Linked DNA regions of Ovis aries. The protein of the gene in region 1 interacts with the protein of each later gene in a pairwise test. Links are inferred from orthologs where the notes say so. Each region holds a gene or a part of one and is shown on either strand. Other genes may lie near its edges. The genes, in order: RFESD and HBQ1.

Region 1 (4,262 bases):
ATAACTGGTGAAAATTTGCCATATAACACAGTAAGCCCACCTTGACGCTCTGTGAAGACCTAGAGGGGTGGGAAGTGGGGATGGATGGGATGCTCAAGAACGTCGGCATATGCGTGTAATATGGCTGATTTTTATAAAGCAGTTTTCCTCCAGTTAAAAATATAAAAACCTATCAGACTCATCTAGCTTCCAACTTTGAACACATGCACGTGTGTGGGTTTTTTGTTTTGTTTTTTCCTCACAGAAACATAAATAGAAAAAAACAAAGTTGCAAAGTTCAAAAGATGAGAGTGAAACCCATCTCCTCCCCCCCCAAGTTTAAAGACCCAATTTTTTAAGCTTATGTGCATATATCTACATTATTTGTATCTAGAGAAATAACTTTTATTTACCCCCAAAGAAAGCATACTACACAGTATTCCATACTTTGTAACAAATTCATTCATTACATCATGAACCGTGCTGGTGAGTATGTGGTTAGAAAGTAATTCACATGTCTACATTGTATTTAACCACTTCCCAGCTGAGGCTCATTTGAGCTCTTGTCACTTTTCTGGCAATAAACACCATTATACATTATATGCTGGAGAAGGCGATGGCACCCCACTCCAGTACTCTTGCCTGTAAAACCCCATGGGCGGAGGAGCCTGGTAGGCTGCAGTCCATGGGGTCGCTAAGAGTCGGACACGACTGAGCGACTTCACTTTTCCCTTTCATGCATTGGAGAAGGAAATGGCAACCCACCCCAGTGTTCTTGCCTGGAGAATCTCAGGGACGGCGGAGCCTGGTGGCCTGCCGTCTCTGGAGTCGCACGGAGTCGGACACGACTGAAGCGACTTAGCAGCAGTAGCATACATTATATGCATCGTGATGAACTCCTATTAAATATTTTTGTGAGGTAAATTTCTGGAAGACAGACTCCGGGTGAGTTCAATAAACACCATTATACATTGACTATATGCATCATGACAAACTAAATATTTTATGAGGTAAATTTCTAGAAGACAGACCCTGAGTGAGTTCAATAAACACCATTATACATAGATTATACGCATCGTGACGAACTCTAGTAAATATTTTTATGAGGTAAATTTCTAGAAGGAAAACCCCCGGGTGAGTTCAAAATCTAGATAAATGTGATGAGCTCAGCAAACGTTTTAAAATGAAGTGGGGGAGCCCACGTCGGTAAAACACACGATTGAGACGGTCAGCTCAGAGGTCCCGGCGGAGCGCGGCGAGCCGGCGGCCGCGGTCAGGCAGGGTCAGCAGCCCGCGACGCCTCAGAGGCCGCCCCGGGGGCGGGCGCGCTCGGGTCACGTGGGCGGTGGCGCCCCGCCCCGCCCGGTCACGCGGAGCGCCACGCGGCCGCCGGCTTCCCTGGCCGGTTCAGTATCCTCACGCGGCGGCGCTGCGGCCGGGTCTCGCGGAGGTGGGGCAGGGACTCAGGGAAGGTAAGTTCTGTTCCCGGCGCGGGCCTGGGCGGCCTCTCGCGGGGCGGGGCTCGCGAGACTAGCCACTTCCGGCCGGGCGGCGGGCCCGGGGCTCGGGCTTCCGGTGGCGCAGGAGACTGGGGGTGGGTTCGCGGTTGCAGTGCTGCATTTCATCCTGGGTCTTCTGAGCGCTGCGGTCCCGCCGCCCTAGACGCAGCTCTCCTTAACGATGAACCCCCAGCACAGGCTTCTGCCCGGGCACTGCGGGCCCATCGAGCTTGTTCACCGTCAAGGCTGGTCCTCACTCCGGACCTGCAGCTTCCGTTCAGTTCAGTTGCTCAGTCGTGTCCGACTCTTTGCGACCCCATGGACTGCAGCACGCCAGGCTTCCCCGTCCATCACCAACTCCTGGAGTTTACTCAAACTCATGTCCACTGAGTGGGTGATGCCATCCAACCATCTCATCCTCTGTCATCCCTTTCTCCTGCCTTCAATCTTTCCAGCATCAGGGTCTTTTCAAATGAGTCAGTTCTTTGCATCAGGTGGCCAAAGTATTGGAGTTTCAGCTTCAGCATCACTCCTTCCAATGAATATTCAGGGCTACTTTCCTTTAGGATGGACTGATTGAATCTCCTTGCAGTCCAAGGGACTCTGAAGAGTCTTCAATACCACAGTGAAAAAGCATCAGTTCTGTGCTCAGCTTTCTTTATAGTCCAGCTCTCACATGCATACATGATTACCGGAAAAACCATAGCCTTGACTAGACGGACCTTTGTTGGCAAAGTAATGTCTCTGCTTTTTAACAGCCGCTTCCCTGGTCCATTTTTTAACAAGCTTTCCTGGCATTTGGCTTCCCTCATAGCTCAGTTGGTAAAGAATCCGCCTGCAATCTTCAGGAGACCCTGGTTCGTATTCCTGTGTCGGGAAGGTCCACTGGAGAAGAAATAGGCTAGCCAGTATTCTTGGGCTTCCCGGGTGGCTCAGCAGGTAAAGAATCCGTCCACAATGCGGGAGACCTGGGTTCGATCCCTGGGTTGCAAAGATCTCCTGGAGAAGCGAAAGGCTACCCGCTCCAGTATTCTGGCCTGAAGAATTCTAAAGAATCGGAGAGGACTGAGCGACTTTCACTTTTCTTAGCATTTGTGCTCTGAAATGTATGAAACTTGCCCCAGGGTTGCCGCAGCCCCAGCCGTCTTGGGTATCCGACTCCTGAAGTCTGCAGGCAGAATGATCACCCATGTCTTGATAGCCACGCTCTGGTTGTCTTTTCGGTTCTTGAGCTTGGTGTTGACAACTGCAGGTTGTCTTGACTCAAACGTTGAACACAGCTTGAAGTCCTTGCCCATAGGCTGTCAGAGCTGGCAGGACCCTTAAGAGATGACCGCCACGGTGATTGCAGAGTTTCCCACCCCCAGGACCCACCCTGGACACTTGACTGTCCTGAGACGTTTGTCCCTACCACTGCACTTAGTGCAGGTCTGCGTTATAGTCGCACACACTGCATCGCAGCGACATTAGCCGACTTCTCACAAGTCAGGCAGAGCTGGGGGTTCAAACCCAGGTGAGTGCAGCTGCTACTGTAAGGTCTCTAATGTCGCAGACGACACCTGCGGATTCCAGGACTGGCTGCGCAACTCTTAAATTATTAGGGAAGATGGTGACTGTAGCCATGAAATTTTAAAAGACACTTGCTTCTTGGAAGAAAAGCTGTGACCAACCTAGACAGCATATTAAAAAGCAGAGACATTACTTTGCCAGCAAAGATCCATCTAATCAAGGCTATTGGTTTTTCCAGTGGTCATGTATGGATGTGAGAGCTGGACTATAAAGAAAGCTGAACACCGAAGAATTGATGCTTTTGAACTGTGGTGTTGGAGAAGACTCTTGAGAGTCCCTTAAACTGCAGGGAGATCCGACCAGTCCTTCCTAAAGGAAATCAGTCCTGGGAATATTCATTGGAAGGACTGATGTTGAAGCTGAAACTCAAATACTTTCACCACCTGATGCAAAGAACATACTCATTGGAAAAGACCCTGATGCTGGGAAAGATTGAAGGCAGGAGGAGAAGGGGAGGGCAGAGGATGAGATGGTTGGATGGCATCACCAAAATGATGGACATGAGTTTGAGTAAGCTCTGGGAGTTGGTGATGGACAGGGAGGCCTGGTGTGCTGCAGTCCATGGGGTCGCAGAGAAGGACACGACTGAGCGACTGAACTGAACTGATTTCGTTTCAAACATTTGTTGACACGAGTCTTGCACATTGGCTTTCCTAAATTAAAAAAAATTCAAGACCATCATCTAAGGATATATATATGTGGAGGGTACACACAAACATCTTTGCGAAAAGGTTTTGTACCTTCAAGATAGTGTATATGCGTGCCACCTATTTTTATAAATCCGTGGATGCTACTTAGATAAAATGGTAAGATTTATATATCAGTCTTCACAAAGTTTAGACATAAGACCTAAGTTTGAATCTTCTCTGTGATTTTGTGAGTTTGGGCAAGCTTTTGTGAAAGTCCTTTACCCTTAGTTTCCTCATCTGGAAAATAGGCATTTTTTCCTGGGGATTAATGAATTCATATATGCAGAGTCCAAGCACTTGGCACTCACTAAAGGTAGCTAGTTTTATCTATTATTCTGCCAGACAAAGAAATCTAAAGCTATGGCATTTCTCATCTCTGAACCTAAAATAAAGGTGTCACCTTGGAGTTTTGCATTCTGATAAGTGTAGATCAAGTCCCCAGACTCAGTAAAAGCAACTTTGTGCTTTTCAGCTCAAGAATAAGAAGAAATTCCTTTAACTTCATGTTTCTTTTGTCCCCACTGTC
Region 2 (4,387 bases), on another chromosome or scaffold:
GAAGAGACCTGAACCCGGACTTGAACTCCTTGCAAATTCTGTAACCCGCTCTCAGTATCTGTTCCTTCCAAGACTGCCACTCAGTTGCACCCAAAAACTCTCTGCGGAAAGAAAGGAATCTGGGAGCGCCAAGGCTGAAGAGGAACAGGAGGGTTGGACGGCGGTGGGGAGGAATTCGCTGATCACATGCGAACGGTGAGCCAAGTGTGTTGCGTCCGGCTGCCTCTGGCATGGACTAGGCGCACTCAGTCGCCCGTTCCTTCACTGATACTGCCCAAGTTTAAAATGCCCAGAGTGTGCCAAGCCTAGGTCCGGGGTGGGTAGCACGGGCTGACTTACTCCCTTCCGTTCTCAAGACAGCTGGGGAACTCCTGCAGGATGCAGGAGCGGGCATCTACCCAGCTCCACAATCCCACCCCTGCCACCTGGCGCGAGGCTACCACGTCCGGGGAAGGTGGACGCAGCGGGCGGGAAGCAGACGGTGGAAGCAAGAACCCCCGGTCAGAGTCCAGGTCTGGGTGGGTGAGGGAAGCACCCATCGCCCGGCCGGGCGCAGGTCGGACTCCGCGCGCCCCCTGCGGTCCTGGTCCGGCCGCGCATGCCGCGTGCCAGCCAATGAGCGCAGCGCGGGCGGGCGTGCTCCTGGCGCCGGGCGCATAAAGGCTCGCGCACTCGCAGCCCCGCACGCTTCTGGTCCCGACCCAGACTCAGAGAGAACCCACCATGGTGCTGTCTGCCGCCGACAAGTCCAATGTCAAGGCCGCCTGGGGCAAGGTTGGCGGCAACGCTGGAGCTTATGGCGCAGAGGCTCTGGAGAGGTGAGCACCGCACCCGCCCCGAGGGGACCGGGCCGCTCGCCGGGCGCGTCCTTGTCCCGGGCCGCTCGGCCTGAGCCCGGCTTTCCCGCCTCTTCACCCAGGATGTTCCTGAGCTTCCCCACCACCAAGACCTACTTCCCCCACTTCGACCTGAGCCACGGCTCCGCCCAGGTCAAGGGCCACGGCGAGAAGGTGGCCGCCGCGCTGACCAAAGCGGTGGGCCACCTGGACGACCTGCCCGGTACCCTGTCTGATCTGAGTGACCTGCACGCCCACAAGCTGCGTGTGGACCCGGTCAACTTCAAGGTGAGCTCGCGGGCCGGGCCGGGACAGACCTGGGCTAGCGGGGCGGAGAATGCGGCGGCGCCCCCACCCAGCCCCCGCCCCACTGACGTCCCCTCTCTCGGCAGCTTCTGAGCCACACCCTGCTGGTGACCCTGGCCTGCCACCTCCCCAATGATTTCACCCCCGCGGTCCACGCCTCCCTGGACAAGTTCTTGGCCAACGTGAGCACCGTGCTGACCTCCAAATACCGTTAAGCTGGAGCCTCGGCGACCCCTACCCTGGCCTGGAGCGCCCTTGCGCTCTGCGCACTCTCACCTCCTGATCTTTGAATAAAGTCTGAGTGGGCTGCAGTGTCTGTCTGTAGCCTCGGGTCTCTGTCCGCGAACCGGCCCAGGTTCTCATTGCCTCAGACCAAGGAGCTCTCAGGCAGAGAGAGAGAAGGGGAAAACTGGATGGAGGGGTGGGGGTGCAGCCTGCCCCACTGCCACTACCTGGGATTCTCTGGGCAGCCCTCACCCTCAGCCTGGAGTGATTTCTGAGTATCTTGGCCCTTCCCTGAATTCATCCCAGAGCCTTGCATGTTCATCACGGAGTTTTTTGTGCAAATGATCAATTTGTTGGTGGACCTCAAGCCAGGACTCGGAGCTCTCCCGGGGCTGCTCCCAGAGCTGGGTGGTGCTGAGAACACAGAGGCCCTCTGGGTGCCTCCCTCCCCACCAAGTGCCTAGAGGAAGCTAGGGGTGCATAGTGCCCTTATAGAGCCAGGCTAGGTCCTGGAGGCACCTCTGTCACCTGGTACACACACCCCCTCAGGACACCCACTGGGCCATTGAGGGTCTGAAGGCCTGATTTGGGGGGCCCAGCTCAGGATCCTGAGGCCTGCCCTGCCCTGCACTGCCCTGAGGCCCACTGACTCCCCCTGGCGCTGCTGTGGAGAGGAGAGCCAGGGGCAGGGCGCCTACACTCAGAGGTGCTTTCTTCCTGTGGAGAATGCCCCTAGCGCCTGCGGCTTGAGGTGTCCAGTCCTGGCAGTGGTCCAGCCCCAAGCTTTCAGCTTGGGAAGCAGTGTCCTTTCTTCCCTGGGCCCAAGAGTCTCTGTCAGAAAATGGATGGCAAGTTTCCTGCCTCAATGTGCTCTGCTTTTAGCATATGAGCTCAGTAAGAGGCAGTCTTCCTTATTTTATTATTAGGCAAAATGAGAGCCTGGACTAAAAGTGGAAACAACCCAAATGTCCATCGAGAGATGAGAGGACAAACAAAATGTGGTCTAAACAGACAATGGCATGTTACCCAGCCATAACAAGCAATGAAGTGCAAATACAAAAGACCGTGTGCTGCATGGCTCTATTCACATGAAATGTCCGGAATAGGCAAATGCACAGAGGCCAAGAGCAGACTGGTGATGCCCAGGGGCTGGAGGGCAGGCGTTATGGACTGACTGCTGATGGGGACAGCGTTCCTCTTTGGGATTACGAAAAAGTTCTGGAATTAGATAGTGGTGATGGTCACACAGTGAATATGATTAAATCACTGGATTGTACACTTGAAAATGGCTAAGACAGTAAATTTTATGTTATGCAAATTTCAATGCATTTTTTTAAAGGATGTATAGTGATGCCTGGCACAGAATGAGTGCTACATGGGTATGAGCTATTATGTGGGGGATCTATCCTGTACTGTGCTAGGTCGCTTCAGTTGCGTCCAACTCTTTGCGATCCTATGGACCACAGCCCTCCAGGCTCCTCTGTCCATGGGATTCTCCTGACAAAATACTGGAGTGGGTTGCCGTGCCCGCCTTCAGGGGATCATCCTGACCCAGCGATCGAACCCTTGTGTTCCCAACACTCATGTCTCTTAAGTCTCCTGCGTTGGCAGGTGGATTCTTTACCATTAGCGCCAACTAGATTTCTATTTGGGATAAGAAAGTTCTGGAATTAGTGGTGATGGTAACACATAGTGTGAATGTAGTTAAAGACACTGAATTGTACACCTCAAATGGCTAAGACAGTAAATTTTATGTGAATTTCAATGCATTTTTTAAAAAGGATGTATGGTGATGCCTGGCACAGAATGAGTGCTTTATAGGTATTGGCTATTATTTGTAGGATCTATCCTAGCCACTCTGAATGCTCATTGTCCTGAAAAGGGCATCTGCTATGAACCAGGAACAACCTTGGGAAGAAGAAACTGTTACTTTCCTTATATACCATAAATGAGAAAACAGACTGACGTCCAATGCCAAACTCCATGCTAAAATTCAGGGCCACCTAATATTGACACATACTAAATATTAGTTTCCAAAAATAGGGATTTCAGGGTCCAGGGCGATTGGGAAGGCCCCAGGTCAGAGCTGACGCTCCGTGGAGATTTCCTAGACCCCTCCCGGCCAGATTCTGCGACCAGAGGCCCGGCGCCCCCCGGAGGCCAAGGGGGCAGCAGGCCGAGAGGCGCAGGCGCAGGCGCATCCCGGGCTTCACCGAGAGGCCGAGAGCGCGGCAGGCTGTCTCCACGATGGTGCTGGCGCCGGCGGACCGCGCTGCAGTGCTCGCGTTGTGGCGGAAGCTCGGGACCAACGTCGGCATCTACACGACGGAGGCCCTGGAGAGGTGCGCACGGCCCCGGCGCATCAGGGCTCACCTGTCTTCAGCGGGCTCGGGGGATGCGTCCCCCGCCGTCCGGTTCCAGAGCCCTTCCTCCCGAGGCCCCGCCATCAGGACGCGCCTCACTCGCCGTTCCTCCCGCAGGACCTTCGTGGCCTTCCCTTCCTCCAAGACCTACTTCCTTCACCTAAACTTGAGCCCCGGCTCCGCCCAGGTCAGAGCCCACGGCCAGAAGGTGGCCAACGCGCTGGTCCTGGCCGTGAACCACCTGGACGACCTGCCGCGCACCCTGTCGTACCTTCGCGAGCTGCACACGCACAAGCTGCGCGTGGACCCGGTCTTTTTCAAGGTGAGCTCGCGGGTGGGGCCGACGCCCGTCGCCAGGGGAGGGGGCTCCCCCCAGGTAAGGGGTGGTGCACCGCGTGGGGACCACTCTGTATGTCTGCAGCTGCTGTGCCACTGCCTGCTGGTGACCCTCGCCCGGCACTACCCCGGAGACTTCAGCCCCAACATGCACGCTTCACTGGTCAGGTTTCTGAACCACGTGATCTCGGCGCTGGCCCCCAGCAGTGGCTAAACTGGGAGGGTGGTCGCTGGGGGCTCCAGTGTTTGAGTAAAGTCCGCAGACAGAGTCCCAGCTGTGCCCGTGTTCTTTTCTAGGGGCCTGACGAGGGTGGGGTGGCG

What was found.
Region 2: the proteins of RFESD (region 1) and HBQ1 interact in binary tests that used the Homo sapiens proteins (3 or more experiments, as listed by UniProt). The two-hybrid records come from large-scale screens. The link is inferred for Ovis aries from reciprocal best matches to the Homo sapiens genes RFESD and HBQ1.

The regions. Positions count from the first base shown.
Region 1 is NC_056058.1:92,606,448-92,610,709, forward strand, and holds the start of RFESD (Rieske domain-containing protein), read left to right. Parts: upstream 1-1,388; 5' UTR 1,389-1,451; intron 1,452-2,292; exon of another isoform or gene 2,293-3,225; 5' UTR 3,226-3,853; intron 3,854-4,262.
Region 2 is NC_056077.1:761,438-765,824, forward strand, and holds HBQ1 (hemoglobin subunit theta-1), read left to right. Parts: upstream 1-1,357; 5' UTR 1,358-3,614; coding exon 3,615-3,709; intron 3,710-3,847; coding exon 3,848-4,052; intron 4,053-4,151; coding exon 4,152-4,280; 3' UTR 4,281-4,337; downstream 4,338-4,387. Other genes in the region: hemoglobin subunit alpha-1, read left to right, coding at 724-818, 920-1,124, 1,229-1,357.